Canis lupus familiaris: one gene and its partners. The protein of the gene in region 1 purifies or fractionates together with the protein of each later gene. This does not show direct contact. Links are inferred from orthologs where the notes say so. Each region holds a gene or a part of one and is shown in the gene's direction. Other genes may lie near its edges.

What was found.
Region 2: the proteins of EED (region 1) and AEBP2 purify together in Homo sapiens (affinity purification with mass spectrometry; 6 studies listed by BioGRID and IntAct, counting the BioPlex papers as one, with this or other methods). This does not show direct contact. The link is inferred for Canis lupus familiaris from reciprocal best matches to the Homo sapiens genes EED and AEBP2.
Region 3: the proteins of EED (region 1) and DDX5 purify together in Homo sapiens (affinity purification with western blotting; 3 studies listed by BioGRID, with this or other methods). This does not show direct contact. The link is inferred for Canis lupus familiaris from reciprocal best matches to the Homo sapiens genes EED and DDX5.

The regions. Positions count from the first base shown.
Region 1 is NC_049242.1:13,364,363-13,375,572, reverse strand, and holds part of EED (polycomb protein EED), read left to right. Parts: intron 1-419; coding exon 420-501; intron 502-3,884; coding exon 3,885-3,976; intron 3,977-5,951; coding exon 5,952-6,085; intron 6,086-7,959; coding exon 7,960-8,065; intron 8,066-9,183; coding exon 9,184-9,258; intron 9,259-11,210. UniProt on the Homo sapiens protein: Polycomb group (PcG) protein. Component of the PRC2/EED-EZH2 complex, which methylates 'Lys-9' and 'Lys-27' of histone H3, leading to transcriptional repression of the affected target gene.
Region 2 is NC_049248.1:18,424,745-18,436,584, forward strand, and holds the start of AEBP2 (zinc finger protein AEBP2), read left to right. Parts: upstream 1-6,438; 5' UTR 6,439-6,529; coding exon 6,530-7,200; intron 7,201-11,840. UniProt on the Homo sapiens protein: Acts as an accessory subunit for the core Polycomb repressive complex 2 (PRC2), which mediates histone H3K27 (H3K27me3) trimethylation on chromatin leading to transcriptional repression of the affected target gene.
Region 3 is NC_049230.1:14,615,985-14,626,062, forward strand, and holds DDX5 (probable ATP-dependent RNA helicase DDX5), read left to right. Parts: upstream 1-1,463; 5' UTR 1,464-1,491; exon of another isoform or gene 1,492-1,935; intron 1,936-2,115; 5' UTR 2,116-2,250; coding exon 2,251-2,294; intron 2,295-3,512; coding exon 3,513-3,678; intron 3,679-4,010; coding exon 4,011-4,107; intron 4,108-4,205; coding exon 4,206-4,339; intron 4,340-4,460; coding exon 4,461-4,526; intron 4,527-4,796; coding exon 4,797-4,938; intron 4,939-5,028; coding exon 5,029-5,189; intron 5,190-5,277; coding exon 5,278-5,450; intron 5,451-5,777; coding exon 5,778-5,888; intron 5,889-6,101; coding exon 6,102-6,163; intron 6,164-6,237; coding exon 6,238-6,297; intron 6,298-7,540; coding exon 7,541-7,765; intron 7,766-7,991; coding exon 7,992-8,395; 3' UTR 8,396-8,698; downstream 8,699-10,078. Other genes in the region: CEP95 (centrosomal protein of 95 kDa), read right to left, coding at 1,206-1,224. UniProt on the Homo sapiens protein: Involved in the alternative regulation of pre-mRNA splicing; its RNA helicase activity is necessary for increasing tau exon 10 inclusion and occurs in a RBM4-dependent manner. Binds to the tau pre-mRNA in the stem-loop region downstream of exon 10.

The DNA.
Region 1 (11,210 bases):
CTTCTGCCTTGCTGTATTCTGAAAGGGTCTATATGAACTATAGGGGAAGAGTAAGTACTTTTTCCAAATATCCTGATCAGGGATGTAAAGAACTAACTGAAAGGTGAAACCTGGGAATTTGATACTAAGAAGTTTTGCAAATCACCTTAATCAGAAGTTTTTAACTCTGGGGCACATTAGAATCACCTCAGTATCTTTTAAATCCTTGCCTGGGTCCTAGCTGATCCAGTCCAATCAGAGTACCTGCAGGTATAAGACTTAAGCATCTTTTTTTTCCTTTGACTTTGTCCGTTGATTTTAATATGCAGCCAGGGTTGAGAACCACTACTTTAAGTGAAACTATTTTTCCATTCTCTTAAGATTAATGAAAGAATTTATTGATTTTAATATGAAAGTTGAATGTTATAAATTTATTGTAGCATTATGTTGGCCATGGAAATGCTATCAATGAGCTGAAATTCCACCCAAGAGATCCAAATCTTCTCCTCTCAGTAAGTAAAGGTAAGAGAAGCAAATGTTTCTTTAGTCCTATTTATTTGGGAATTATTTTTTAAGGGACAAAGAGTTCTAAGGTACTAGAAAAGAAAAAAACCAACAGCCAAACTTGAAAAGAATTATAAAGTAGGGACGCCTCAGTGGCTCAGCGGTTGAGCATCTGCCTTCAGCTCAAGTCGTGTACCCGTGGTCGCTGTATCGAGTCCCACATCAAGTTCCCTGCATGGAGCCTGCTTCTCCCTCTGCCTGTGTCTCTGCCTCTGTGTGTGTCTCATGAATAAATAAATGAAATCTGTTTTTAAAAAATGAACTTACAAAATACATTTTATTTTTTATTTATTATTTTTTATTTATTTATTTTTAAATTTTATTTATTTATTCATGATAGACACAGAGAGAGAGAGGCAGAGACACAGGCAGAGGGAGAAGCAGGCTCCATGCAGGGAGCCGGACGCGGGACTCTATCCCTGGTCTCCAGGACCAGGCCCTCGGCTGAAGGTGGCGCTAAACCACTGAGCCACCAGGGTTGCCCACAAAATACATTTTAATAGAATGTCAGGCTATGTTAGCATCCCCAGGTCCAAAATTAGGTAAAAAGACCATGAAATATGCTTTTAATATCAGACATAGATAAAATAATTGGTACTGAAGATTAAGCATGTATCAACCTTAATCACGATAGTGCATTATCATCATTTATCCTCAATTGGATTATTTTAAGCTATATTAATTTTTAAGTGGCAGATCACCAAAGTTATAATATTAAGAATTCTTAAAATAGTTTAGCAAGTCCTCTTATCACTGACCAGCCATGTAGTTAGAAATAATGCATCTGAAAATCTGTTTTGCTTTTTCATGTATAAAGTTTTTGTTTTATAAAGGATTCTCTAATAGAATTCCTTAAAATGCTAAGTTCTCCAGCATAAGCTCTTTGAAATATTTCCCATACATGTAAAGAAAAAGCCCTGCCTTGCTCTATATGCTTATGTTGGGAATAGAAGTTATTCAGGGTTCAGAGAAGCCTTTTACTAATTTCTGAGCTTTCTGAAATCAGCTGTGTTCTTATTTCTACATTCTGTTCTTGATTGCCTTTTCTCTTTTTCTACATTATTATTCTAGTCAAGTTTATTCTTAAAGGCTTGTCAAACCTGTAACCTTCCCTCACAATCTGCAGGTACTAAAAAATGTTCTCAAATCAAAACTCTTCCATGAAAATGCTTCTGTGTGATTTTTCGTTATCTACCAAGGCTTAAGTTTGGAAATCAACATCTAAGAAGAGTTGATAACTTTTTCTCTTTTCTTGATAATAGCTGGGCCCAAGTATTTCTTTACAAGTGATATAGGTCATAATGCCACACTTTCTAAATATTACAGCTCTCTAACCCAGCTCTTGCTCTGTTGTGTCAGTAAGTGTAAAGATAACCTACAGTTATAGATCTAATAAGGGATTTGTATCAAGAGCTCTTAAAATTCAGCAAGACAACCCTTTAAAAAATGGACAAAGGTGTAGAACAGACTTTCTAAAGAATATACACAAATGTCCAGTGAGCACATGAAAAAATGCATAATATCGTTTCATTAGGGAAATACAAATCAAAAACACAATGAGAGGGACATCTGGGTGGCTTGGCAGTTGGGCATCTGCCTTTGGCTCAGGGCGTGATCCTGGGATTCCGGGATTGAGTCCCACATCAGGCTTCTTGGCGTGGAGCCTGCTTTTCCCTCTCCTTGTGTCTCTGCCTCTCTCTCACTGTGTCTCTCATGGATAAATAAAATCTTAAAAAAAAAAAAACCCACACAATGAGACCACTTTATACCTACTAGGGTTTTGACAGTAATCAAAAAGGCAGTAACATATGTTGACTAAGAGGTAGATAAGTTTGAAGCCCCTTACACATTGCTGGTGGGAAAGTAAAATATATCTCCCTTAAAAACCAGTCTAACCTTGCAAAACTCATATTTAACATTCAACAGTTGGTGCTGCTGGCAGGAATATCACTCAGATATAAAAATTTCTATTAGTCATGCTATTTTGGGTGGACTATTATCAAAACCTAAGCAAATGGCGACCTGGATTAATTCAAACTTCATTCAAGGTCTGATTTTTGTCCTTTGAGCCTGCTAAGACCCTTAGTCTAATACTCAGCACTTAATCAACTTCACAAAAGTATCATAGTAACATGAATAGATAATCTAAGACCATAAAAAAACAGTGGCATTTCCTACAGTTTAATTACCATAATGATCTGCAAATGTAGAAACATAGGTCCAGAAAATTTTGGGAGCTGCTTTTGTTAAATATTAAGCTTTCCAATATGTTACAATAAAATTTCCTGTGTTCTTTTAGTTTCTAAGTTGTATCATAATCGGGCTATATATTTTGTTTAGACCATATATTTAGAGACATCTGATTTCAAAAAAGCAAGCAACAGCGCCTTGTGAAAATGTCATATAGGTTATACCATGGCTGCACATGCTGTTATAGACCATTAATTAAAATATGATCGCCTTTTTAAATTAAAGAAGGAATCAAACATCACTGATTAAAAGTAGATACTATTTTATTGGAAAAAAAAAACAGTCTAGCAGTTCCTCAAAAGGTTAAACGTAGAAATACTATTGCTGTGTGTGTATGTAGTCAAGAAAAATGAAAACAAGTGTCTACACAAAAAATTGTACACAATTGGAATCAAGAAATAATTTTTACAGCAATGTTAATTTCTACTATTAAACACAATTTATAATTGCCTTCTAGTGTATGGAATATGTTAATATTCATATATAGTATAGGCATTGTTATATTTCACAGAATACATTTTTATGTTGTTGCTATATATTTTGCTGCTAATGTTTAGTGGAAAATGAGATTGTTCAAATTACAGTTATATTTCTAGGAGGTCTATAATACTATAAAAGCTTGTTGTGGTGTATGTAGTTTTTAATCCTATTTTGGGTTTACTTTAGAAATCTTGCAGTCCCCTTCAATTTGTAAATGTGGATTCTGTGGAGGAAAAAGCTTTATCTTACTCTGTGTCATAGAGTATCTTACTCTGTGACATGTAAGTTTCAATGTGAAACCTAAGTCAAATCTCTAAGTATTATCTCAGGAGCATGAGTCCATCAAATTAGGATATGATTTGAGGTAAATAAGCTAAACATATTTTAAGACGACATAGATATTTCTTTCTGATCTGAAAAGTTTGAGCTCATACTTAAGTCTGCATGTTGATGTAAATTTTTTAAGCAGTTATATAATGTAGATTACATTCCCAGTCCTCCCTGTGTATTGCTGAAGTCCAAACTTTTGTAGTTTTTACTTCTTTACAGAGGTTTTGAGAGTCCAGAGTAAATGAAGGATAAAAGTCCATTTTAATTCTTTTTATGTCTAGATCATGCCTTACGATTGTGGAATATCCAGACAGACACTCTGGTGGCGATATTTGGAGGCGTAGAAGGGCACAGAGATGAAGTTCTGAGTGCTGTAAGTTGAAAGCTGCAGGGCAGTGACCATCAGGTGTACAGAGCTCTGAACAATCCTCATGGAACTCTGACATGAAAGCATATGGTTGGTTTCATATAGTCTGCCAGCCACTCATTTTATTTACTTGGAACATAATAAGGTTTTTAGTTTACAGATGAAGGAATAAAGCAAGTAAGGCTCTTTGTGCTTTATCTGTACTCTTGCACTTTATACCAGCACCTAGAATCTCATGAAACAATACCATGAACTTGTTCAATCAAAAATCACCAAGGTAACTTTTGTTTTGCTGTTTCTCAATTACTGAAGAAAAAGGTTAAGCTGCTTAGCAATTGAGATCGGCTTTCATTTTTTATTTGAAGCTGAAATATAAGATCTATTTTTAGGAATTGTTTTATTATGCTTAAACTAAGTTTCAGGTAACCCTTTGGTTTCATGGTATCTTTATGTTTTATAATTTGTTGATTCATTTTAATGATAATGATATTTTTGGTCAGCTAGTATTTTCACATTATTTTAGCTTTACTTACATTTTATTTTATAGCTTATCTAGTGGTTTTACAAGTCTTCGGTATTTTATTAAACTGTAAAGAGGCACCATGTTTTGAAGCAGGTAGCGTTTTATTTGAAAGGACTTAAATATTCCTGTAGTTAGAGTTTATATTCTTTGGAGAATCATACCTACCTCCTCAGCTACCTTGTCACCTTGGATTTTCTAAAGTTGCAGTAGCATTCTCCCATCTGGTTTTGTGTCCTAAAAGCCATGACACCATCCGTTAAGAATTATAAATTCGAGGGATCCCTGGGTGGTGTAGCAGTTTGGCGCCTGCCTTTGGCCCAGGGCGCGATCCTGGAGACCCGGGATCGAGTCCCACGTCGGGTTCCCGGTGCATGGAGCCTGCTTCTCCCTCTGCCTATGTCTGCCCCCCTCTCTCTCTCTCTCTCTCTCTCTCTCTCTCTCTCTCTCTGTGTGACTATCATAAATAAATACAAATTAAAAAAAAAATTATAAATTCGAGCTACTGATCGTAAGGGTGTCTTATTGCTGTTGACAGGTAATTAGAAGTAGCAGCAACCAGACTTGTGAATTCAGTGAACACCAAACCTAAAACCCTTAGGCTCTTGTAAAACAGTATTCATGACCAATTCAAAGGTTGGAGTACACAGAAATATCTAGATTAATAAAGAAAATATTCTCTTCCTCAAATAGAACTCTGTACTGTTTTCTTCCCTTTTTTTTTTTTTTAAATCTTCCCTTTTTTTAAAGGTTTTATTTTAACACATGAACCATGTGCTAAATTAAATAGCATCTTGGTGCCTCATTGTTTTATCTATGAAATAAGGTGGGATAAGGTTGTTATTATAGATGTTCTGTTACGTGTCTTCAAAATTAGTAGGTAGCAAATGAAAAAGTTAAAATATCTTGTCCCTTTTTTAGACCTTTTTTTTTTACCTTTTTTCTTTTTAAAAGTGAACTTATAACCTATATAACAAGTATTTTACTTAGGTACACAGATAAAAGTAAAATTTCAGTTTTGTTCAAGGACTCATTGTATAGTTTCACATATAGCTGTCAGTTTCATTGTTTAATCAGGGTTGGACAAAGAAAACTTACATAGGTCTTTGTGTCATGGAATAATTGTTTCAGTTTATAATACATGTAATATATAATGAATAATTCATTCAGTTTACTTTCAAAATCAAAGGAAATATTTAAAGATAATTGAATAGATAAAACTAAATTCAAATAATTTACTTATATATTGTATAAGCTCACATATTGTGATCATGACAAATCAGTTAAAATAAATCTTGAAAAAAATCTTGAAAGCAGCATCAACTGATTTATGGACTACATAGATAAAATGTATGTATATGACTTGAAATACGGTTTTCATTATGTTGTACATCAGATGAAAATTGGATAGTTTAATTTTGGGCAATTTTGGATATTTAAGCTTTTCTGTTTTACATACAGGACTATGATCTTTTGGGTGAAAAAATAATGTCCTGTGGTATGGATCACTCTCTTAAACTTTGGAGGATCAATTCAAAGAGAATGATGAATGCAATTAAGGAATCTTACGATTATAACCCAAATAAAACTAACAGGTAAAAACTGTGCTATTTAAAACTATTTCATGCTGTTGGATAGATGCATTTTACTTTCTCTGGAATTTTTAAATAATTCTCCAACATTGAGTTTAGAAGCCTTTTTTAAATAACTTTGAGGTACCAGTTTACCATACCATAAAGTTTACTCATTTTAAATCAAAGTCTTATTTTTAGTCTAATGTTTGTGGCTCCTTTTTCAAAATCCCCCTTAAGTTGTGGTTTCATCTTAATTTAGTGGTACTTTTCACTTATTTTTATTTAGGTAAGCACATGCTTGGCTATTACATTATAACAGTTTTAAGCTGCTTAAACTTGGTGTGGGATAGAGTAAAGAACCTTTCAGAATAATATTACTTGTATTATTTGTCAACAGTCTAATAAATTCAAAGTCAAGAGAGTAAATCGTGATTTTTTAAAATGGGTTTCTTGGCTTTTATTCGTGGTAATGTAATGCTTTCCTTTAAATGATGATCCATATTTTAGAAGGAGAAAATTCAGAAGCAGGGAGGGCCTTGCTTCATGGGACTCTGCGAACTTTAGAGTTTTCTTACAAAAAAATATATGTGTGTGTGTGTATGTGTATATATGTATACACACACATACACACATACCCAACATGCAGCTCAAGCTTAAAGCCCCAAGATCCAGAGTTGCACGTTTCACCAACGAAGCTAGCCAGATACCCCTCTTAATATATTTTTGAAATGCTTCAATTCTTAATTCGGTCATTGTCTTTTCAGAATCTTTTCAGGCTATTAATGTTTTCACTGTAACTGTCATGTCTGTGTATATTAACTTTGCACTTCTGTTTTAACAAAAAAGCTAACATTTATTTTCTGGTTATCAAACCAGGTTATTAATAGATTGTCAGTTAAATTTATAACTGTCAACAAATATTTCAGTGCACTAACATATATATTTGGCTAAAAAGCAATTAACATAATTATAGTAGAATTGAGAATTTGTATCAGATCATTAATAACATTTTAATGTTTTAATAAAGAAAAGCTCCCAGAATTTGAACTGGAAGGAATGTTTGAGATGATTCAGCCCAACATCCTTTTTACATATGAGAGAAAAGTAAAGAGAGGACATGTGAGTTGCCCAAGACACAATTAATTCATGGCATCATATCATTCTTCTACAGTTATTTCAGTATAAAACTGAATCATTAGATTAGAAATGTTAGGTATACTTTTAATTATAGAATTAGTAGCAATTTCTATGCTTGGTGGTCTTCTCACAACATTTTTAAGGAAAAAATAGCACTATGTTTCACTTTCCTAAATAGAGGAAAAGTCTTAATAAATGCCAGATTCCTGTCAGAGGTCATTTTTAGAAATTGTTGCTCAAGGCAAGACTCATCTAACCTTATTTTTAGCAGCCTTTGGAATGATGTGTCATTGTTCCTAGAAAGGTGACTATCTTTTGAAATAATTTAGATATGTTGAGTTGCATAGATTGTTAATGCTTAATTTTAAAGGATTGAGTAGATAGCTTAATGTTTTCCATGAGAAACTTTTGGTGCTGTAATCGGATGACTGTGCTTATCATTGGTTAGGATAGCCAGAATTGAAGTGATTAATTTTGGTCTACATAGTAAGATAAGCAGGTATAATTTTTATAAATGAAATTTCATAAGATAAAATTGAAGGCCGATAATGGAAAAAATACAGAAACAAATACATGAAATGAGACTTTAGCTCTCGATAAACAGGAAAGTTGGCAGTTTTCTAGGAACACAGAGTTAATAGTCATATATTTCATTTGTCAATGTTTTATAAATCTGAAAGTGAAAATTAATGTGATTCTCCTATGGTAATTTTTTTTTTTTAACTTTTTTCTTTTAACTTTTGGCATTTCCATTTCAGGCCATTTATTTCTCAGAAAATTCACTTTCCTGACTTTTCCACCAGAGACATACATAGGAATTATGTCGATTGTGTGCGATGGTTAGGTGATTTGATACTTTCCAAGGTATGCTAACTGCTGTTAAGCTGTACTTCTATTTGTGTTTGTGTGAGTTGGAACTTTGCAGGGAGCACAATTTATTTTATATTTTGGTAAATTGGATGGCAGATGGGAAATTCCCTCCCCTCGCCCCTCCGTAAAGTCTCATAGATTTGGAAACTTGTTTTAGGCATAAAACATCCTGATGAATTATTATAACTTGTGCTGCAATAATAGGAAAAACGTTAACTTGTAAGATGATATTCTTCTGATATCCAGTATTATAAAATAACCAATATCTAAAGCCATAGTGAGTTTTTTGTTATGTCGTGTCCATTTCAGTAAATTTGTATTTACAAAAACAGACAGCTGGAGTTGGCTATGGGCTGCAGTTTGCCAACCCCTGCTCTCTAATGTGTTGATGTACATTTACATATTTTTTGCTGATAATTTAGAGTATTGTTGGTGATGTTATCTGAACATTTAGGATTGTCATATTTGGAAAAATTGCTATCCAGTTTCTTTTCTTGATGTGGATTTCAGGGCGTTTCATATTTTCTTGGGCAGAGCCTGACTTTTTTTCTTGGCCTTTTTACCCTTTTTTTTTTTTTTTTTTTTAACTTTTGATCTTGAGATAATTAGATTCTCAATAAGTTTCAAAGAAAGTACAAGAGGAGTCCCATATTGCCCGTCACTCAGGTTCTCCCACATACATCTCACATAACTGTAATACAGTATCAAATTTAGCAAATTGACATTGTACAATGTGTGTGTAGAGTTTATGTTGTCTTTTCATCACATGTGAATTTTGTCATTTCAAGAATGTTACTGTATGGGACCCTTTAAGATTAGTTTTTTCCACTTAGTATAATGCCATCCAAGTTGTTGTGTGTATCAGTCGTTTTCCTTTTTTATTGTTGAGTAGTATTCCATGGTATGGATGTACCACAATTCATCTATTGTAGGACATTTTGGTCCTTTTCAGTTTGGGTGTATTACAAATAAAGCTGCTAATGAACAATCGTGTACAGGTTTTTGTGTGGACTTAAGTTTTCATTTCTCTGGGATAAATGCCTAGAATGGCAATTGCTGGGTCATGGTTAAGTTTGTTTAGTTTTTTAAGAAACTGCCAAACTATTTTCCAGAGTGGCCGTGCCATTTTACATTCCCACCAACAATGTATGAAAGATCCAGTGTCTCCGAATCTTCGCCGGCATTTGGTATTGTCACTATTTTTTATTTTAGCTGTTCTGATAGGTGTGTAGTGATATCTCATCATGGTCTTAATTTACATTTCCCTGATGGCTAGTGATGTTGAACATCTTTCATATGCTTATTTACCATCCATATATCCTTTTCGATGATGTCTCTTCATATCTTTTCCTCATTTTCTAATTGGATTGGTTTTGTGTTTTTTTATTGTTGAGTTTTGAGAGTTCTTAATATATTCTGAATATGAATCCTATGTCAGATACGTAGTTTGCAAATATTTTCTTCCAGTCCATAGCTTGTCTTTTCATCCTCTTAACAGGGTCTTTTGCAGAGCAAATGTTTTTAATTTTGATGAATTTCAATTTATTGATTTTTGCTTGAAAAAAATTATGGATTGTGCTTTTGATGTTACATTTAAAACCTCTATGCTCCGGATTCTAAAGGTTTTTTCCTGTTTTCTTCTAGAAGTTTTATAGGGTTATGTTTTATATTAAATGTATGATCTATTTTGAGCTAATTTTGGATGAGGTTTAGAAGTAGTTCATTTTTTGCCTATGGGTATCTAGTTATTCAGCACCATTTGTGGAATAACTGTTCTTTTTCCTTTTAATTGCTTCTGCACCTTGGTCAAAAATTGTTTGGCCTGTTTGTGTGAGGCTGTTTCTGGTTTTTCTGCTCTAGTACCTCTACCACTAGAATATATATACAGTCTTGATAATAAGTCTTGGAAACAGTTACGTGTTTTCTTCCACTTTATTATTCTTTTTCAAAATTGTTTTAGCTCTTTTGATTCCTTTGCCTTTCTGTTTTATATCCGTTTGATGGGGGAATTAATTGACATCTTTGCTCTCCAGTCCATGAACATAGTATGTCTCTCCATTTGGATCTTTTGATTTTTATTATCAGCATTTTGTAGCTTTTAGCCTGCAAGTCCTATACATACTTTGCTAGATTTATAATTAAGTACTACTTCTCTTTTTTGGGTGATTGTAAATGGTATTTCTAATTTCTGTGTTTATTGCTAGTATACAGAAATGCAATTGATTTTTCATATTGACCTTGCATCCTGTGACCTAGCTATGCTGCTTACTAATTCTAGGATTTTTTTTGTCTAGTACTTGGGGTGTTTACGTAGACTATCACCTCATCTGCAGGTAGGGACAGTTTTATATCTTCCTTTCTGACCTTGCCTTATTGCACTGGCAAACTTCCAGTTTTGTGTTGAATAGCAGTGTTAAAATCCGACATTCTTGACTTGTTTCTGATATTAGAGGGTAAGAATTCTGTGTTTCACAATTAGGTATATTAGCTGTATGGTTTTTGTGGATGTTCTCTATCAAGTTGAGAACTGTACTCCTTACTAATTTTTTGAGAGTTTTATCATGAATGGGTGTTGAATTTTGTCAAATGCTTTTTTCTGTATCACTTCATGATACAGATATAGTTTTTCTTCCTTAGCCTGTTAGTGGATGTATTTTATTGGCTTTTCTGTTTTTGTTTTTGTTTTTTTTTTTTAATATTGATCTGGTCCTGTATCCCTGGAATGAGTATATTTGCTCATAGTGTGTAATTTTTTAAATGTGTTGCTAATAGCTGATATTTTGTTAAAGATTTCTGTGTTTGTATTCATGAGGCTATGATACTAGTCTGAAGTTTTTGTAATGTCTTTGTCTGGTTTTGGTATTGCTAATACTGGCTTCATAAAATGAATCGGCAAGTTTCCTCTGATATTTTTTGGGAAGAAATTATATAGAAATTCCTCATAAATGGTTGTTAGAATTCTCTAATCATCTGAGCCTAGAAATTTTTGAGAGAGAGTTTTAAAGATACAGATTCCATTTCCTTAATAGTTAAAAGAGCTATTCAATTAACTATTTCCTATTGTGTGAGTTGTGGTAGTTTGTGCTGTTTAAGGAATTGATCCACTCCATCTAAGGTAAAATTTATGTGTAGAGTTGTT
Region 2 (11,840 bases), on another chromosome or scaffold:
TGGTCAAAATAGATGCCATACATTCTTCAGGAAAAGAAGGGTGTGGATATGCCTGTTTTTGGCTTGAAGTCAAGGTGATTTATCCAAACTGCTGATTTGCTTTTTTAAATATTTCACCCATTACATATTTTGTTTAGATTTTCCCCTGGCTTCGTAGAAATTTGATGGATAAAGTACTAACTGGTACCGTAACCTGTATGCTACAGTAACTAATCCAGCAAACTCAAATGTAATAATCGAGAGCATTTTGAACATTGACAAAAGTTATTTGGTTAGCAAGTCAGATGTAAAATACCTGAAAGGACAAAAAATGTGGTGTTTATTTCACATTTTGCCTACCCATTGACTGATAGCTTATAGGGAAGCATTTTTACTATATTCAAAATGAAGAACCATCCAGACATTTATCAGACACGTATATGATCTCCTTTTTTTTTTATTTTTATTTTTATTTTTTATTTTTTTTTATTTTTATTTATTTTTTATTTTTATTATTTTTTTTTTATTGGTGTTCAATTTACTAACATACAGAATAATACCCAGTGCCCGTCACCCATTCACTCCCACCCCCCCCTCCTCCCCTTCCACCACCCCTAGTTCGTTTCCCAGAGTTAGCAGTCTTTACGTTCTGTCTCCCTTTCTGATATTTCCCACACATTTCTTCTCCCTTCCCTTATTTTCCCTTTCACTATTATTTATATTCCCCAAATGAATGAGAACATATAATGTTTGTCCTTCTCCGACTGACTTACTTCACTCAGCATAATACCCTCCAGTTCCATCCACGTTGAAGCAAATGGTGGGTATTTGTCATTTCTAATAGCTGAGTAATATTCCATTGTATACATAAACCACATCTTCTTTATCCATTCATCTTTCGTTGGACACCGAGGCTCCTTCCACAGTTTGGCTATCGTGGCCATTGCTGCTAGAAACATCGGGGTGCAGGTGTCCCGGCGTTTCATTGCATTTGTATCTTTGGGGTAAATCCCCAACAGTGCAATTGCTGGGTCGTAGGGCAGGTATATTTTTAACTGTTTGAGGAACCTCCACACAGTTTTCCAGAGTGGCTGCACCTATGATCTCCTTATTGTGGGAAGTTGCCAGCCAAAAGCAGTTATGTCTCAAAATGGATACACTGACAAATTTTAACTGTAATCTGTATGTGTATATATAACTATAAAACTATACCCCAAACTATAATCATTATTTGGTTGTGTTTTGGTTGGATTACAATCCACAGGTAGGGGGAAGCTTCATCAGATTTGTAGTTCTTTCCAGCTTTACAATCTTTCTGTATGATGTTCTGTCTTTTAATGCATACTTTCTTTAGACTCCAAGTCCACCAGAGAATGAGGTCACTGTGCTGCTGAGTGATCTTGTTCACTGTGACTGTATCAATGCGCAGAATGAGGAACCTGAACTAAAGGAGGAAAATGTGCGATGGCTTCAGGTTTTAGAGACGTTGTGTTCAGGAGTCTCTTGCATATGGTGTAGCAGGAATCTCAGCTTGATTCTAAACTGGGTCTGTTGCTGGGTTCAAGCATGTCTGGGCATGTCTGACAAACTGGTGAGGCAGGCCTGAAAGAAACCTGCTGACCTGGGGGCTGAGACTGCTTCCTAGAATAGAATTCATTTTAGTGGAAGAGAATTAGACAGAGAAGCTCTATAAGAAAGACTTAGTCATTGGATGGGGAGTAATAAATACAGCTTGGGGTAGCTGTTACTCAAATCTGTCGCCAATCTAGCTAGGCCCATGAAAGCATGTCTGGGTTTCTAAGAGAAAAAGAGCTCTGAGTAAAAACATAAAGAGCTGTTTCACTGAACCTTCCATGATAGCGGGCACAAGCAATCTGCCTCGGGGTTCCCCTAAAGGAGGTCAACACCGTGATCTCCATTTCTGCAGGCTACCCCATGGCTGTGGCTGTTTTGCTTGTATCACAGATTCTGGGAAGGAGCCTACAGCACCTAGGAGAGCAGGGCAGGGGAGGGGGGCAACCAGGAGTGAATGTACTAGAGATCTCACATCCCAGAGGCTCCCGGAAAGCTAGAGGTGTCCTCATTTCCTTAGTAGGCCTGGTAGGCAGAAAAGCAGGGGAAATTCAAGTCATTATTGCTAATCTGACCCCATTAGTACTGTGGTCGATGAGTTTGAATACTATTTCTAATCAAATAGTTCTTAGGCAGTGATGTGTTATTAAGCATAGAATCATGCACTCTCCTAGTGCAGGGAAGCAGGGAACTCTGCAACAGTGATTTTTAATCTGTAGAGGACCAGTATTTTATTTTTTGAAAACTTCCACTGGACTGATACTTTTTGCTAAATACAGTAAAGGTAGGGATGCCTGGGTGGCTCAGTGGTTGAGCATCAGCCTTCTGCTCAGGTTGTGATTCTGGGGTCCTGGTTTTGAGGCCTGCATTGTGCTCCCTGCAGGGAGCCTGCTTCTCCCTCTGCCTATATCTCTGCCTCTCGCTGTGTGTCTCATGAATAAATAAATAAAAGCTAAAAAAAAAAATACTGTAAAGGTAAATTACCAGAATAATAGAAAAAACTGACATCAAAATATGAGCCCCAATTGTTTATTCTTAGATTCAAGTAGGCATAAAATTACTCTGTCAAGGTGTTATAAAAGTTTCCATAAGCTAATTTCAGTACTTGTCTAGCTACAGGCAGGTAACAGTTTATGGGGGTGTTCATGCATGTGCACTGGTTGGTGGGCACTGCTTCTTGCGATTCATGTTTTCATCCTACCTCTCACTTGATGCCATGCCATGTTCATCATCCACAAGTCTGTCCTCTAGCCACACACTTCAGTGAGTGGTTACGTAGGAGAGTGGCCTTGTTCTAAGGAGATACATGCAGAGTAATGACCTCTGCACTTGAATCCAAGCCCAGAGACAGACAGACGTTGGGGGGGTGGGTAGAGGTGTAGTTAGAAGAGAGGGAGAGGAAGGGACAGGGGAGAGGGAGGGGTTGGAGAGGAGGGAGAGAACTTCTGGTTTTTGATATTTGCCACTTCTACACGTTTAATCCCCATTCACTTTCACTCTCTTCACATTTTTCTTCTAGGTCCTATACATTACATACCATTACAAATAACTTTAATCATATCATCATACCTTTTTTTTTTTAAAGATTTTTATTTATTTATGAGAGACACAGAGAGGCAGAGACATAGGCAGAGGGAGAAGTAGGCTCCTTGCAGTGAGCCCCATGCAAGACCCCAGGATCATAACCCAAGCCAACGGCAGATGCTCAACCACTGAGCCACCCAGGTGCCCCTCATCACACCTTTTGGAAAATATCTCAGTACACACTAGTTGTCTTTCAAAATCAAATTTTTTATTCAAGATTTTATGCGATCTGATCTTTAACTCTTTTTTAGTTTTCCAGATTGCGTTCTCATACCCGATTAACACTATCATGAATACATTTTTATTTTTTATTTTATTTATTTTTTATGAATACATTTTTATGCCTTTCCATGTTATTTCTTCTCAGTCCTAGAATTCCCCCTTAAGCAGAATTCTGTTCACTCTTCAAGATTCAGCTCAAGTTAAACTTACACAGTTATATATTTTATTGTATAAATTTGTTCAAATCCTACATTCTTCATGAAATTTTCCTTGATTAGCTCAGCTAAATGTTAACCCTAATTTCCAGGGTTTGATAGAGTGCTTGGCACATACACTTTTCAGTTAAACTCTCTGAAAGCACTTACTTTACAATACAGGATAATACACTTCTGGTCTATCTCAAATAGTGGCTTTGAGGTTGAAATGTGTGAGGTGAATATCTTGCATTATATGTGCTTGGAAAGTTAACTGTAAACCATAATGCCCAATACTATTTTTTTAAAAGATTTTTATTTATTTATTTATGAGAGACACAGAGAGGCAGAGACATAGGCAGAGGGAGAAGCAGGCTCCCTGTGAGGAGCCCAATGCGGAACTCCGTCGTAGGACCCCAGGATCAGGCCCTGAGTCAAAGGCAGACGCTCAACCACTGAGCCACCCAGGTGTCCCTAATGCCCCATACTATTATTTTTTCAATTTTTGCTTTCCCTTGAGGAACATATGGGACATATAACAGCTGTCCAAAGGCCTAAGGTAGTGGGTATAATACTTGGGTACTCATAATCTATGAAGCAGGAGACTCTGTTTTTGTTTTATAAAGATTTTATTTATCTATTTGAGAGAGAGAAAGAGAGAGAGGGTGTGAGTGTACATGAGCATGAGCTGAGAGAGGAGAAGCAGCTCCCCAGCTCCCCACAGAGCAGGGAGTCCAACACAGGGCTCAATCCCAGGATCTTCTATCGAGGCCCCTAGGATCATGACCTGCGCTGAAGGCAGATGTTTAACCCACTGAACCACCCAGGCGCCCCCTAACAGGAGACTGTTTTAATGCAATCAGTTCTCAGATCTGCACTTCCCTTAGGTGGCTGTCCCTAAAAGTGATCTGCCTGAAGATACACCTCTGGTGTCAGAGTGTAAAGTTCTTTCCAGCCTTCCTTATCCCAGTTGCCCCTTCCCTACTTATAGAAAAAGAAAAGCATAATTCTTCTCCACCCCAAATCCTACCAAGGTGCAATACCCCAGGGGTGAAACAAAAATCTCCAGGATGTCAAAAAAAGGAACAATTGGTGAATGAGAATGGATAACACAACCTTAGAAGTCAGATGGTTTTCAACAACTTGCTTTCAACAATTGAAAGAGAACCTAATCAGGGTTGTCAGCTGATGGATCATTAAAAATAATTTTTATTGTTAGATCTTTATGTGATTCTTCTGGCATATAATTTGGAAGGAGTTCAAAGAATCAAGTTACTAAAAACTCCATTCATTTTCATCTACTTATTTATGCGAACAAGTTTCCTCACTGAGTACATCCATGGAATCGAAAACTTGGAATAGAATGGATGTTGAACTTGTTCTCATTCTGGTGATACTCATCCATCAATAAAATAAACTAGTTGGGGGCATCTGGGTGGCTCAGTTGGTTAAAGGTCCAACTCTTGATCTCAACTCACGTCTTGATCTCAGGGTCTTGAGTTCAAGTCCTGCCTTGGTCTCCATGCTGAGTGTGGAGCCTACTTGAAAAACAAACAAAAAAGTAGTGGGAACTAGCAGTTCTATCTCTGTAAGATGCATTTCCAACAACATTTTACTTCTGTGTTTAATACTTATGTAAGTATTTAACGATTTATTTATTATTTTAGAGAGAGAGAGAGTCCAGGCAGGAGCGCTGAGGGGCAGAAGGGAGGGAGAAAAAAAGAGAGATTCCTAGCTGAGTGAGGAGCCCTACCTAGGCCTCAATCTGAGGCCTGAAATCCTGACTTGAGCTGAAACCAAAAGTCAAGGCTTAACGGACATAGCCAGCCACCCAAGCGCCCCTCTTACATAAATATTTAAAAAAACGTGCTTTGATCATTCGAAATAATAAAGCTTTAAATTCTACGATCACAAGAGATTCAAACACGATCCTTAATTTCAATTTATTTCATTTTATTACAAGGGACTAGAAGATGATCAATAAAACAGACATAAAAGTCTATTATTAGGATAAAATTCTGGAGGGATGTGGAATGTAAATACGGAGGATAAAGGAAAGATGGAAATTGCCCAAGTATCAAAGAAACCGTATTTAAAAAAGTGGATTTGGTGGGCCTCAAAACTGCAATATTTGGAGTTGGCCGGCTATATTTAAAAGTGACAATGATAAAATATTCATAACCAGTTGGGGGAAAAAAAATGTAGATGTCTTTTTCAACTGCAGAAGGATGTACAGAATTTGGGGGACTCGTTAGCTACAAAGTCTGAAGATCCTGAGCAGAACCCAAGTCTGCAGGGAGGCCGGCTGAACCATTTCTTGGGGGGCGTTGGAATCACGGTTGGCCCCAAACCTGTGGCTCCACGTTGCGCGCGCGGGCGCAGCAGCTCGCCCCGTGTTCCCCGTTTCCACCGTCGCCAGCACCTCCCCTCTGGGCCGCGCAAGAGCAGGGACTTGTTGGATTCCTGGCTCGTCGCCTGCACACGGGGGTGGGGGTGGGGGTGGGGGTGGGGGGGGCGGACGCTCCCCAAACATCCCCGGAATGAATGACTTTATCGTGAGAACTCGGAAGGCTGTTAAAATCCCCGGCCAGCGCTCCAGCTTTCGTTCTGCGTGTCCCGGCGGCCGCGAGGCCCGGAGCAGGCGTGGGAAGACCCCGAGGAAAGTCTGAGCCCTCGGCGGGGGGGCGGGGCGGGGCGGGGCGGGGGCGGGGCGGGGCGGCCGGGGGCGGCGCCACCTCGGGCCTCCGCGCAGGCGCGCAGCCGTGTCCGCGTGAGTGCGCGCAGCGGCGCGCCTGTCCCCGCGCGGGCTCCGTAGCGCGTGTGCAGGCTGACGCAGCTCGCGGGCCCTCCTCCTGCTCTGCGGCGGCGGCGGCGGCGGCGGAGTTTTGGGCGTTTGGGAGGGGGCGAGCGAGGGAGCTAGAGTCAGGAGAGGGAGGCGGCGGCGGGGAGGAGGAGGAGGAGGAGGAGCAGGCGCCGCCATGGCCGCCGCTATCACCGACATGGCCGACCTGGAGGAGCTCTCTCGCCTGAGCCCTCTGCCCCCCGGCAGCCCCGGCCCGGCGGCGCGGGGCCGGGCTGAGCCCCCCGAGGAGGAGGAGGAAGAGGAGGAGGAGGAGGAGGAGGCCGAGGCCGAGGCGGTGGCGGCGCTGCTGCTGAACGGCGGCGGCGGGGGCGGCGGCGGCGGCGGCGGCGGCGGAGTGGGGGGCGGCGAGGCGGAGACGATGTCGGAGCCGAGCCCCGAGAGCGCCAGCCAGGCCGGCGAGGACGAGGACGAGGAGGAGGACGAGGAGGAGGAGGACGAGAGCAGCAGCAGCGGCGGGGGCGAGGAGGAGAGCAGCGCCGAGAGCCTGGTGGGCAGCAGCAGCGGCGGGAGCAGCAGCGACGAGACGCGCTCGCTGAGCCCCGGCGCCGCCAGCAGCAGCAGCGGGGATGGGGACGGCAAGGAGGGCCTGGAGGAGCCCAAGGGACCCCGGGGCAGCCAGGGCGGCGGCGGGGGCGGCAGCAGCAGCAGCAGCGTCGTCTCCAGCGGCGGCGACGAGGGTTACGGGACCGGGGGCGGCGGAAGCAGCGCGACCTCCGGGGGCCGGCGAGGCAGCTTGGAGATGTCGTCGGACGGGGAACCCCTGAGCCGCATGGACTCGGAGGACAGGTCAGTGCCCGGGAGGGTGTCCCCTTCCCTTCTCCTTTCTGCGCTCGTGCGCCTCTCGAGGGGGGCACGAGGGGACTTTCTTTTTTTTTTTTTTTTTTCTTAAACTGAGGTCCCCCTGCGCCCCAGATCCGCGGCCCCTCCCCCCGGCTCCCAACTCGGAAATCTCTCCTGCCCGCCGCGCCCCTCTCGCCGCGGATGGCCGCCCGCAACTCTCCGACCGGCCCCCCCCAACTCTCCTTTCCCCGCCCTCTTTCCCCCCTCGGCTCTGCGCTCCGGACGGACCTACGGACAGCGCCAACTCCGAAACAGCCCTCAAAGTAGGCCCCGATCCCCTGGCGGAGCTCCCGAGGGCCTCGATGCTCACACCCCGGTACACAGGGTTCGCTCGGCCCCACCGGTGTTCGCGAACACTTGTCAGAACTGTAATTGACAAGTGTTTTCCAACATGGCTGGTCTCGCCTGGATTTAACAGAACTTCCTTGTTCAGGGAGGAGACCCCCCCCCCCCCCCACCCCCCACTATCACTTTTCGCCACTTAGAAGGAAAACGACTGGCCTTTTGTAATTTGGTCAGTGCTTCTACAATTTCTCACGTGTAGTCATTATATACGCTCTCCAAAGTGATTTTGCTAACTTGTATTTTGCTTTGTGACTAAACGTGGGGAGAAAGTTTAGAAACACTTGTAGGAATTGTAGACGAGAATAATGGATTGATGTCCTTTAAGATGATGTGAGGGGATCAAAGAATTGGGAATCGTAATGAGGTACAGCCCGGAAGGCACACCATATTGGTATGTGGTTTAGAATCTTTAACAGGAATGTCATGATTTTTTAGACGGTGATATTAAAGTCGTGGATCGGAGAGATCTCTGAAGAAATAAGTAGCCTTTTTCTAAAGCTTGTTAGAAATAATATGAATAGGGATCCCCTGGTGGCGCAGCGGTTTGGCCCCTGCCTTTGGCCCAGGGCGCGATCCTGAAGATTCAGGATCGAATCCCACGTCGGGCTCCCGGTGCATGGAGCCTGCTTCTCCCTCTGCCTGTGTCTCTGCCTCTCTCTCTCACTGTGTGCCTATCATAAGTAAATAAAAATTAAAAAAAAAAAAAAAAATAACATGAATACAGTCGAAAATACGCTTCATGTTTTGGAGACATTACAGTTTATTGCATTAGTGTGTTTCAGTTATTACTTCTCATCACTTTGGAAAACTTCCTATTTTAACTAATTGGTTTTTAATGTACTTTTTTTTTTTTTAAACACAGAGACAACCATGTCATGCCTATTATACTGCTCCTGGCCTTTATTTTGACCATCTATTAATGTTTTGATGTTTTGATGAACAGTAGGATTTTTAACCATCGGTATTGATTGGTCTTTAAAAGTTTAAGTATTCTGAGGTTTTAGGAATTCGGATTGGTAACTAATAAAACGAACACTTTGGTTTATCGTTAATGTTACAAGGAATACAAAACTCTAAAAAACGTGAAAATATAGCACTAGATTCAGTTCGACATTTACTTTAGAGAAGAAAATACCTTGGATGGATGGATGGAGTAAAGTAGACTGTACAAACCCTAGAGAGACTGTGCTGAACTATGTAGGTATGGCAGGAAGGAGAATCTTTAAGATGATTAAAAATTGATGTGACCCACACAATGAAGCATATGTTATTTATCATTTTAGTATATCCTCGTCCATTGGTACCAGCAGATATTTGAAAGTTGACATCAGTTTATACAGTTAACATCTAGCACAGTTCTTCCATTTATCCAGCGTGTGTGGGCACACACAGGTTTAGCACTGCACAATTTAAATGTCTCTATTCATTCTCACAATTCTGGTGCAAGATAGGAATTACTTTGACTTCCATTTAACAGGTGAAGCAAATTGTCTTACTCAAAAAGTAAGTATGGAGTGGAAGAGCTGGATCCGAACAAAGGTTCTCAAGCCTCCTACTTCCACTTCACAAGAGTTAGAATACTCAACTCAAATAACAAGCTGTATGTGCCAGGATTTTTTTTTTTTTTTTTTAAGTTACTATTTGCTACATCCATTTAGGAGATGAACTATTATTGGTCAAGTAATATTTCAGGAAGTGGAGTTTTGGCTTCATTTCATATTTATAAGATAATCACTGGAATATCTAATTTTTACATCATATTTCAGAGTAAGGACTAAGATATTAGTGCCACAAGTCCAAATAAGGTTAAAGCTTCATAATCAAACATACTTGCTTTTCTTAATGCTTAAACATTAGAGAGTGCAAAATATTGTAATCTTTTTACTGTTTCAGAGTGAAAGATTATCACTTGTACGAAAAGGTTTTGCTAGTGAAACTGGATACGGTAGTCTTAATCTTCATTCTTAAATGCCCCCTTGTTGCCTTTAAGTTTTTTTTTCCTTAAGTGTCCTTTTTTTTTTTTATTTTTAAAGATTTTTATTTATTTATTCATGAGAGTCACAGAGAGAGGCAGAGACACAGGCAGAGGGAGAAGCAGGCTCCACGCTGGGAGCCCCATGTGGGACTCGATCCCCCGTCTCCAGGATCACGCCCTGGGCGGAAGGCGGCGCTAAGCTGCCGAACTACCCGGGCTGCCCTTAAGGGTCCTTTTAAATTTGGAAAGGATTCATAGTTCTTAGGAACTGTTCTGCAGATTACATTAATCTATGTAGATTTTATAAATTGATTTCATGGTAGGAGGCCATAATTACTTTTGTAACTGATGTAAGGATATCGTGATTTTAAAGTGCTTTTAAAAAATTTGGGCATTCCTATAAAAATAATTTTATTATTAAAATTTACTGTTCTAGAATACCTGTTCAATTTTTCTCTTACTTTGAAATTAGATCATACTTTTGAGTTTAACATACCTTGGAATTTGTTGAACTATCTTAAGTATTTTTAATTGTAAGTGCTTCTTTTTAAGAAACATTTAGATATAAAGACTTAGATATTTAAAGCTCAGATCCAAGGTGTCAGTTTATAAACATCTAGTGGAAATGTTGTGTGGTGAAAAATGACTGATTTATAAAATGAATAAATGACAATTGCTACAAAAACATTGATTATTTTCCCCATGAGAAAGTTATTCAAAACCAGAATAAGCATATTAGTGTGTTTATTTTGGTAAAGTTAGAAAACCTTAATGTTGATATCGAATTTATTTTCTTTAGGGGAATATTTAGCTGTTTGAGACCACTATGAACTAGTTTTTCTTTTACTTCAAACCTAAGCTTAAGTATTTTTTAAAAAATTATCACTTTAAAAAAATAATTACCATCTTTTAAGTTAATTTCAGAGACGAACTTTTAAATTTTTTTTTTTTTTTTTTTTTTTAAATTTTTATTTATTTATGATAGTCACAGAGAGAGAAAGAGAGAGAGGCAGAGACACAGGCAGAGGGAGAAGCAGGCTCCATGCACTGGGAGCCCGATGTGGGATTCGATCCCGGGTCTTCAGGATCGCGCCCTGGGCCAAGGGCAGGCGCCAAACCGCTGCGCCACCCAGGGATCCCTTTTTTTAAATTTTTTTTTTTTTAAATTTTTATTTATTTACAGAGACGAACTTTTAAATAGAATTTTAGAATTTAAAATACTTCTGAAAGTTTTTAAGTTCACAAATTCTAGCTATTGAATCAAATTATACACTGGAAGTATTACCTTTTCTGTGTAAGTGAATTGATAATTTCTTTTGTAGTTGTTTCATTCATATATATATACATGTATACATATATATGAATAAAACAACAAACAAATATATGAATGAAACAACTACAAAAAGAAATTATATATGTCATTTATATATAATATATACATGTATATACACATATATAACAATGTATTATACACACACACACATATATATGTATATGTGTGTTCCCCCTTCCCCCTCCAACTAGATAGAATAGAAGCCATAACTTGTTTTGAAAAGCCAAGACCACCATCAGCCACTTTTACCACCTTTCTGGGTAAGTCCATGCCAAGTGAAAAGTGCATGTGTAAGGATGGGGGTAATAGGGAAAGACATAAAAGTATGAAACTTAGTGATCAGGAAAGGCCACAGGCCCTTATCATTTTGTGGATCAAGATTTGTAATCCCAATCTTAGGGGGTTGCAAACTTTGAGGTGTAACTGACATTGCTCTGATGCTGGGAAAATGGGCTTATATTGCCCAAATTCTCAGTGGTATGACTGGGAAGATCTTCCAATTTGGAGTCTAAATTTTTAAGTCCTGTTCATACCAGAAGGCTGCTTGCTGAAGTTATCATCAAGATTTATTAAGGATCTCTATGGTTGAGGCAATGCAATACTTTTATGTAAAGTAATTTTTGCTCATACTTTATGATAAACTCCTTTCAGTATTTACCTCTTCAACTCTGAAGCAGCTGTCCATAGTCTCTAAAGTCATTCTTTTCAATGACCTTTTATTTTGATTAAGTTTAGGGAAAAGAGCTTTTTAGTAGGTCTCCGTTTTCTTTGATAACCTGTAACTCCCAGTTAAGTAAGGCATGGTTCTGTGCATGAAACAAATCATGAAAAAACTACAGACTTCAGGACTGAATTTATGGAGAGATTCTAGGGGGTCATTTTACTTTTAAGAAAAGTTAAGGCTACCATGTTGAGTCAGAGAATCCTGTAAGT
Region 3 (10,078 bases), on another chromosome or scaffold:
TCTACCCAATTATTTTGTGCAAGTCAGAATTTCTCTGGTGCCCCAAAAGGTGGTGATTAATTCAGGCTGTTAAAAAACTGAAGTAATGACCCCAACACTGCAACATTTGTTTTAGTTCTTTAAAAAAATTACATTTAATGGAGGCGCCTGGGTGGCTCGATCGGTTTAAGCCTTTGCCTTCAGCTCAGGTCATGATCCCCGCAGGATGGAGCCCCCAAGTCTGGCTCCCTGCTCACCGGGGAGTCTGCTTTTCCCCTTGCTCATGCTCTCACTCAAATAAATAAATAAAATCTTATAAAAAAAATAAAGTCAATGAATAAGAAGTAAAATACAGGCAATACACAAAGACATCCCTAAATTCAGAACTAGCACATTACCAACACTGTTGGAAGTTTCCTGTGTGCCACCGCACCCCACCCCCAGATACGGTCGGAATTAGCAAGATTATTTCACGACTTTCTCCAACAAAGGTAATTTCTAAAGCCTGACCTATTTGCTCCCTGATACAATTTAAGGTGGTTAAGAAGTCCTTCTACTTCGTATTTGACGAACTGAGCGCGTTCAAGGCACGTTATCTCCCTGTCCCCGTGCCCACTTCTCACAGCTGACCAAACCACGAGCTGGTTTGAACGCTGTCCTGAGGAAAGGATGAAAAGAAAAGCGTCCCGGACAACCCAACCCACTCGGTTTTCAAAAGCGGTTGCTAGACAATGCAGGTAACTCCAGAGGGCACTGAAGAGAAAAATCCGCCACTATCCTACTGTGGCAGGAGCATCAGCAGATCTTTAGAGTGCCGTTCCCCTCAAAACTTCAATGCACATGGAGGTAACGGCCTCAGTCCCCACAATCCAAGAGGCAGAGAGCGCGCTGACAGTGGCTGGATGCCCCAGAGAAACACGAGTCCCGGGAAGCAGCTTTCCGACTGCCCTTTTTGCAGCCAGGTTGCGGGCGTGCTGCGGGCCTCGCCACGGGGTTCTTCTCTCCACACCCCAAGATCTCGCTAGATGGCCTCTAGGAGGGGGACCCAGAGCGGGGCCAAGAAACCCACGGAACCGCCGACTGCGACTGGGTGTCTGTCACCAGCCCCGCCGGCAGCCCAGACCCAGGGAGTCCAGCCGGAGGATTCGAGATAAAAGGCCTAGGAGCGTCCGGCGGACTTAAAGGGTTTCAGTCCACACACACCCGGGCTCCGGGCCGAGACTCACCAGCCTCTGAGCCGGCCATGTCACGGAGGCAGGTCGCTGCCGGACTTCCAGCTGGGCGCGAGGCGGACGGCGTCCGGGAAGGGCCGCACAGCGCAGACGCAACGCCGAGGTGGGGGGAGAACGAAACGAAAGGGCAGGGGGTGAAAGAGGGAGGGACGTTAAAACGGCTTCTTGCTGCTGATTGGTCATCACGGGAGGACTTCCTTTCGCAGCACGCGCCCAGGCGGCGGTTTGTGGGCTCTAGGTACCATTCTCCGCGGGCAAGATCCCGCTGAGGGATTCTCAGGTGGGTGGATTTGACAGGCCGGGTCACCCAGCGGCCCTGGCCGGCCTCCCGGGGGCAATAGTACGGCACTTCCGGCGAGCTATTTCGTTTCGTATTCCTCCGCCGACGCCAAGTGGAGAAGTAGTGCGGTCCGCTTACCCGATGGGCGGGAGCAGTCACGTGACAATGTCAGGCTCCGCCTTCCCGTCTCACTTGGTTAGGGGCGTGAAGGCTCTTCGGAGACGTAAACATCTCCAAGTGGGCTGAGTGGGTTGGTCTGTGCTGGCCATTTTGTCGGCAGGGCTAGACCTGGGAAAGGGCGGGGTGGCTTCCTTGAGGTGTGGAAAGACGAGAAAAAGGTGAAGAACACAGAGTAGGCTAAGGCGTCTCAGTGCGGGTGGGCCCAGCCGTGAAAGGGGCCCCAAGCCGGCGACTCTGAGGGAAGCGGAGGGTGGGGGTGGGGCGAGAACATGGCGGATCCCGGAACGCCGGCGGGCGTTGCGGCCTCTGCGCAGGGGCGGGGTGATTAGGTCATAGAGCGGCTCCCAGCATTCTCCGCGGCGGAGGAGGCGGTCCAGGCTATAAAACCGGCTGCCGGGACGCGGCCGGCACCTCATTCATTTCCACCGGTCTCTTGTCGAGCAGCTCCGGCCCCTGTCATCGCCGCCCCGCTGCCGCTGCCGCCCCCGCAAGGCTTTGCCATCGCCAAAGCCACCTGCAGCGACTCGTCGCACCCGATTCTCTTTACTTCGTTCCCCGCCAACCGCAACCATTGACGCCATGTCGGGTTATTCGAGTGACCGAGACCGCGGCCGGGATCGAGGGTGAGTGTGGGAACGGACTTGTCAGGCCCGGCAGTGGGGGATGGGAGGCCGATGAAGGAGGCGGCGGGCGGGGGCGATGGACAGTCGGCTTTTTCCGGCTATATTTAACCTTTACGAATCGAAGGCTTGCGCCATTTTGATATTTGTCCGGAACTGACAGAGGGATGTTTCCCTGTTAACGGTCCTCAAGCTCGCCTTTTGTTGGTGGGGGGATGGGGGAGGCGCCGAAGCCCCCGCCCCCGCCGACTGAGCAGCTGTTGGGGACAATTCGGGGGAGTGTATTTCAATGGTTGGAAAGCGCGACGCTTTCAGGAGAACGAAGTCACCGCTGTTCGGTGCATCTTTTCGGGAAGTGTTGTAGGGGCCCCGGGAGTTCTGTGGTAATCGAAGGGGTCGCCTCACGAGCCATTGATGGCGCGGGAGCAGGAGGGCGGCCGGCACCGCGGGAATCGGCCATGTGGCTGAGCCGCGGGTACAAAATGCCGGCGCCGGACATGGCGGCGGCGCCTTTGTTACCCCGCCCGGCGGAGGAGCTCAAAATGGCAGCGTCGAGAAAATGTGGCGCAGAGAGAAATGCGAGACAAAGGGGGAAGCGCCGCCCCAGCGGGAACGCCGCCCGGTCCGGGACTCCTCCCCCGGTAGTTGCCAGCTCCTCCTCCTCTTTTTCTTTGCGTTATATAATTTTGCTATCTTGATGAGGAGCCCTCCGGGGGGATCCCCCCAATTCGATGGGCTTGCATAAATGTCTCTGAGACCACCGTCCTTGTTCTGTTCTCGTTGGTGCTGTCCCATTATTCCTTAGAACCAAAGCTGCTTGGCTTGGAAAGAGCTGATAATAACATTGCTGTTACGCACCTCCCTTGTATTGTCTCTCCCCCAGACATTTAATGCCTAAGCTCACGGGAAAGACTAGGAGCCACAAGCTGTTGTCTATCCTTGTAATCTGAACATGGGGCGTTTGGGCAGCCAATTTCCGACCTGATAAATCCCGGGCTGTTGATTTGGCTTCAATAGTGTGTATTTGGGACAACGGAAAGTGAGAGAGATGGTGCTAATTGTGGCTTTTGAGAGCATGACCCATCACTAAGGACAGTGCTAAGTCTTAAACCTCGAAAAGTCTTTCATTTATCTGTACTGTGTGTCAAGGGACAATAAATAGTCTGTATGTAAACGTCTTAGTAGGTAGTTGAAAATATAACTTTTTTGTTTTAATTTCAGGTTTGGTGCACCTCGATTTGGGGGAAGTAGGGCAGGGCCCCTATCTGGAAAGAAGTTTGGAAACCCTGGGGAGAAATTAGTCAAAAAGAAGTGGAATCTTGATGAGCTGCCCAAATTTGAGAAGAATTTTTATCAAGAACACCCTGATTTGGCTAGGCGCACAGCAGTGAGTAATTTCACAGGGCTTCCTTGGGCTGTAACTCAACAGTGACTTTTAGTAAACAGAAATTTGAACAGAGGCCTTGGAAAACTCATATTTTCTGATAGTCGAGGAAGAGGAGGTGCTTTGGCAAGTGGTATCTTTGAATTTTTCTGTTTAGAGTGGTTAAATATAACTACAATAGATGGATCTTGTGCTCTGTAGGTTTTCTATATGTGGATATAGATTTTAAATGGCCCGTTACAGTTTGCTAATCCTTGATAAACTTAAGGCCTGCTGACTGCATATTGGTGAAGGTTGTTATGGTACTTAGTAGGTTATTAAAATTTGTTTTATAGCAAGAGGTGGAGACATACAGAAGGAGTAAGGAAATTACGGTTAGAGGTCACAACTGCCCAAAGCCAGTTCTGAATTTTTATGAAGCAAACTTCCCTGGTAAGTGCTAGTTCAGAGCACTCACTCCCCCCCCTTTATTAATTTCACCCTTTTTCTTAGCTTCACTAAATTTACTGAATTACTGTTGCTAATTACAGCAAATGTAATGGATGTGATTGCAAGACAGAATTTTACTGAACCCACTGCAATTCAAGCTCAGGGATGGCCCGTTGCTCTAAGTGGTTTGGATATGGTTGGAGTAGCACAGACTGGATCCGGGAAAACATTGTCTGTAAGTGTGGAAGAATTTTTGAGTTTTAATATGTGATTATGTTAGAGAAAATGGATTAGTGATATAAGGAAATTAGAAGCTTTTTAATTTAACTTTTGTTTTGTTCCCCCACCCCAAATAGTATTTGCTGCCTGCTATCGTCCATATCAATCATCAGCCATTCCTAGAGAGAGGTGATGGGCCTATTGTAAGTATATATGTGTGTATTTTTTCTTAATTTTTGTGTGAGTACAATAAAGAGAGTTGCAGAATATATAGCAAAACCAATTCTGGTAGTTTCACATAGAGACATCAGTTGTGTTATGTAATTTAACTGGAGACAAAGTTGCCTTGATTATCCTGGAATATTGGACAGCAAAATCCATTAGCTGCTGAAGTAATGCCAGTAAATGCTCATAAGTTTAAAACTAGGATCCAGGACTTTGCAAAAACCTATTCCACTTTCTGTTTCTCTTAGTGCTTGGTGCTGGCACCAACTCGGGAACTGGCCCAACAGGTACAGCAAGTCGCTGCTGAATACTGTAGAGCATGTCGATTGAAGTCCACTTGCATCTATGGTGGTGCTCCTAAGGGACCACAGATTCGTGATTTGGAGAGAGGCACGTAACAAAAATCCTTTTTCTTCTTTTTGTTGGTGTTAGAAAGTCTAGATGTTACAGTTCTATTTATATTTATATGTTTAACTGAAGGTGTGGAAATCTGTATTGCAACACCTGGAAGACTGATTGATTTTTTAGAGTGTGGGAAAACCAATCTGAGAAGAACCACCTACCTTGTCCTTGATGAAGCAGATAGAATGCTTGATATGGGCTTTGAACCCCAAATAAGGAAGATTGTGGATCAGATAAGAGTAAGTACCCCTAAAAATGTTTTATTTTGAAACGGGGCTCTAAATTTATTTAGAATACAATGCTTTTTTAAAATCCAACATTCTTTAGCCTGATAGGCAAACCCTAATGTGGAGTGCAACTTGGCCAAAAGAAGTAAGACAGCTTGCTGAAGATTTCCTGAAAGATTACATTCATATAAACATTGGTGCACTGGAACTGAGTGCAAATCACAACATTCTTCAGATTGTGGATGTATGTCATGACGTAGAAAAGGATGAAAAGTAAGTTTTTTATAGAACTAAAAGTTCAGTGTACAAATTTAGAAGTTAAGAAACTTACATAGGGTAGAATGTGAACGTGTTCTTTTAAAATCCTGTCAATCTTAGCAATATTTCCTTCATTCACAAAATTGGTTATCGGTAACATTTCTTTTAGGAGAGGAACCTGTTTTGTGGTTTAAGGACCAAAGGTAGAATTGCTTGATAAGTGTTCAAGCAGGTGTTTTTTCATTCATAGCCATGTAAATTGAAGATAGTTCTTGAGTGACCATAAATGTGTGGCCATAATCATGGACTTCTTTTAAAATTCACTATTTTTTTCCCTCCAAGACTTATTCGTCTAATGGAAGAGATCATGAGTGAGAAGGAGAATAAAACCATTGTTTTTGTTGAAACCAAAAGAAGATGTGATGAGCTTACTAGAAAAATGAGGAGAGACGGGTATGTGAGTTTTTTCCATTAAAGCAAGTATATGAGAGCTGAATTTAAGGGAAGGGGCAAGTGGATTTGAATGTCATAGATAAGTTTACCTGGTGTAAATAAAACTGCATGGGTCAGGTGAAGTTAAAGGAATTAGTGACTAGATAGGCAGTAAAGTAAAACCTATCAGGCTTTAAATGCAAAGCCTACTGACAAAATTTTTCTTGAATGTAGGTGGCCCGCCATGGGTATCCATGGTGACAAGAGTCAACAGGAACGTGACTGGGTTCTAAATGGTAAGTCAGATGAAAAATTTTTTCCCTCAGAACCTGGAGTTCTCAGATTATTGATGATCGTTTCTTTTTCACAGAATTCAAACATGGAAAAGCTCCTATTCTGATTGCTACAGATGTGGCCTCCAGAGGGCTAGGTTAGTAAAAACTCGAATTCGTGGCTTGGTTTCCCAGAAGATCTCCATATAATTTTTTTAAAGAAAGTTTATTGCTTTCTTTAACCTCTGCATTTTTTCTAAGTTTTTTTCATATAAAGGTGCAGTCTTTGTGGCAAGGCCTAGGCATGACAATCGGAGGACTCGAGGGGGATGGAGGACTAGTGATCGGCTGGCTGCTTCCAGTCGATTAGAGAGGTGAAAAGCTGAAAGTGTGCCAGTAATCTTCAAAAGGCAGAACATACCACCTCTGCCCCGTAAACTGTTCTCTCCGGGGGAAAAAAATGGAAGTTATCCTCACAGTTCACTGCCGTGGTATTTCTTCTGTCCCATGCTTTGCATGACTGCCATGGTACAGCATTGTTTCAAACTGTTTACTGTGATCTGTGGGTCTTTGAGTTTCAGTGAGTTTGCTGAAATGTTGAAGAAATATTTCCAAACTTCAATGTTCAATGAAATTTTTGTTCAAGTTTGAAATGGAGAGAGCAGCTTTAAAAGGTACTAAGCCTTTTACAAATTGGTGAGTACTGGCACATGAGATCTAGAGCAGGAGCAACTTCTCACACTTAGTCAGTGGGAAAAGAAAGCAGTGCTTTGAAAGTTCCTCCCTCACCTACACAGTAGTCGTCATGTCGAGACCTGCCAGAGAGAGACACATTCTCAAGTGAATCCTGGCTTCTTGGAAGCGCTTGCCTAGACGAGACACAGTGCATAAAAACAACTTTTGGGGGACAGGTATGTTTTTCTTGCAGCTGCGGTTGTAAGGTCTTGGCAAGACAAGCAGTGTGGCCAGAATTTTGAACTTCTGATGAGTGTGTAATGCAAAGGACCATGTACATTTTTGTTTAAAGGTCCTCAAAATGAGCACATGAAGAGGTTGCTGTGAACCTTTAAGTGGCCCTACTGCGCAGAAGCATTCAGATGTCACTTGATGATCTGTAAGGGGACTTGCTGGTTTGGGAATATGTTAGAGAATACACGTCCTTTTGTTAGGTGCTCTGTCATTGGGTGGGCAATGAGACAGGTAGATGGTGTGTGCTTTTTTTTTTTTTTCCTTCCAACCTCAATGGTATTCCTACAGGGAATGGATAACCATTTTAACTGTATTTTTTGCAGCCCGTACCTTCTTGGGAATACAATTGTCTAACTTTTTATTTTTGGTCTGGCTGTTGTGGTGTGCAAAACTCCGTACATTGCTATTTTGCCACACTGCAACACCTTACAGATGTGGAAGATGTGAAATTTGTCATCAATTATGACTACCCTAACTCCTCAGAGGATTATATTCATCGAATTGGAAGAACTGCTCGCAGTACCAAAACAGGCACAGCATACACTTTCTTTACACCTAATAACATAAAGCAAGTGAGCGACCTTATCTCTGTGCTTCGTGAAGCTAATCAAGCAATTAATCCAAAGTTGCTTCAGTTGGTCGAAGACAGAGGTTCAGGTAAGACTAACCTTCATTAAGAAATGTTGGTGATTTTGGGGTCACATGATTGTCTGCAAATCCATTAAATGGGATTGGCAGGTGAGTAAAATCTTCATATGAAACTGAGAAAACACTTTAAACTTTGAATAGAGCTTCTTTCTAATTTTTTCTGTACTAGTAATGATTTGTGCTGTGGAAATAATCAGCTTGCAATTCTTTTTTTTTTTTTTTTTTTTTTTGACAGGTCGTTCCAGGGGTAGAGGAGGCATGAAGGATGACCGTCGGGACAGATACTCTGCGGGCAAAAGGGGTGGCTTTAATACCTTTAGAGACAGGGAAAATTATGACAGAGGTTACTCTAGTCTGCTTAAGAGAGATTTTGGGGCAAAAACTCAGAATGGTGTTTACAGTGCTGCAAATTACACCAATGGGAGCTTTGGAAGTAATTTTGTGTCTGCTGGTATACAGACCAGTTTTAGGACTGGTAATCCAACAGGGACTTACCAGAATGGTTACGATAGCACTCAGCAATATGGAAGTAATGTTCCCAATATGCACAATGGTATGAACCAACAGGCATATGCATATCCTGCTACTGCAGCTGCGCCTATGATTGGTTATCCAATGCCAACAGGATATTCTCAATAAGACTTTAGAAGTATATGTAAATGTCTGTTTTTCATAATTGCTCTTTATATTGTGTGTTATCAGACAAGATAGTTATTTAAGAAACATGGGAAATGCAGAAATGACTGCAGTGCAGCAGTAATTATGGTGCACTTTTTCGCTATTTAAGTTGGATATTTCTCTACATTCCTGAAACAATTTTTAGGTTTTTTTTGTACTAGAAAATGCAGGCAGTGTTTTCACAAAAGTAAATGTACAGTGATTTGAAATACAATAAATGAAGGCAACGCATGGCCTTCCAATAAAAAATATTTGAAGACTGAATTAAGTGGAAATTGTACTTTATTTTACATCTATAATGTCATGTAAAACTTTGCTTAGATGGTCTGGTTTGATTTTGTTTTTTTTTTTTAACCATAAAAACTAAATTAACTGCTCCTTTCTATGATTTAGGTTTGGGAAGTGGGGAGAACAGAAGGCCCTTCTTAAAAATGATCTATTTATATTGCAAGAATTAAATGAGATTAAGTAAATTTACAATTGTAGGCTAAGTTGTATTAAGGCTTTCTGCCAGTACCTCATCAGGTGAGTCATTTAATAGCCTATTTATTAGCAGAATGGGGAAGTGAGATTAAAATAGGACATAATCAACTGTATAGCCCCACCCTCAAACTGCTTAGTGTGAGAACAACGTGGATGACTTTATTTCTTCGCAAAATTTTATATTTGAAAAGCTCCAAATAACTTGATTTTTCAGAACAGTTTATAGTCTTGCTCTTGGCTCTAATGTGAATTAGCAAAATGGTGAACAAAGCTAAGACTTTAAATTTATACAGATTGTAGTCTTCAGGCTCTTGGGACATTTAACTGTAGTTGACACTGGGAATCATGAATGTCTTTACCATAATTCAGGGAACTCTAGAGGAGTTTAAAAACTGGAGGGTCTATTCATATTCAAACAAAACCCCGTGAAAGTAAATGAATGATGAACCAAGAGGAAGCAACATAACCAAAAGCACAGTGACTTATACAAGTCGTCTTAGGTCAACATGGGTTTTTATTGCTAGAAAGGTCAGGGGATGATGGATTATTTTAGATTTAACTTTGGCTCACCGATCTTTCTAACACTTCATTTCAATAATGACTAGAAATAGGTCTGAATGTCTTCCCAGAGAGTCTGGTATATATGTTCCTTTTTGTCAGGAGAGGAGAGGTCTTTATGAGACTTCATTTAAATTCTGATTATTAAACAGGCTTTAATTGGTGTCAATGCCTTATCTCTAAAATGTAAAATCTTACTAGAGTTTGCTTGGGGTTGGGGGACAGGGGAAGTGGTATTTTTAGGACTAATACATTGAAAACTGATTCAGCCTCTAGTGACTGAAAAGTTTTCAATAGCATGGTTAGTCAAATTCATTATGACTTTTAACTTATAAGAAGCTTTTGGGGTAGGTTGGAGTATTTATTACATATTTTACTGTTTAATGTTTAACGGCCTTTTAATTTGTAAACACTTACTGAAATGATTGTGGGGCTGTGGAAAACATTTACCTATTTACCTTTGAAGTAAGTTTTAAGACAGTCCACTTTTTAGCATGTGTGTTGTGTCCAGCCTGTGGTTGTCTGAACTAATAAATGTGATTTTTCTCCCCATTCTCGCTTTTATTTATTTGTGTATAGGCCTCTTCCCTGGTGTGTTTCCTG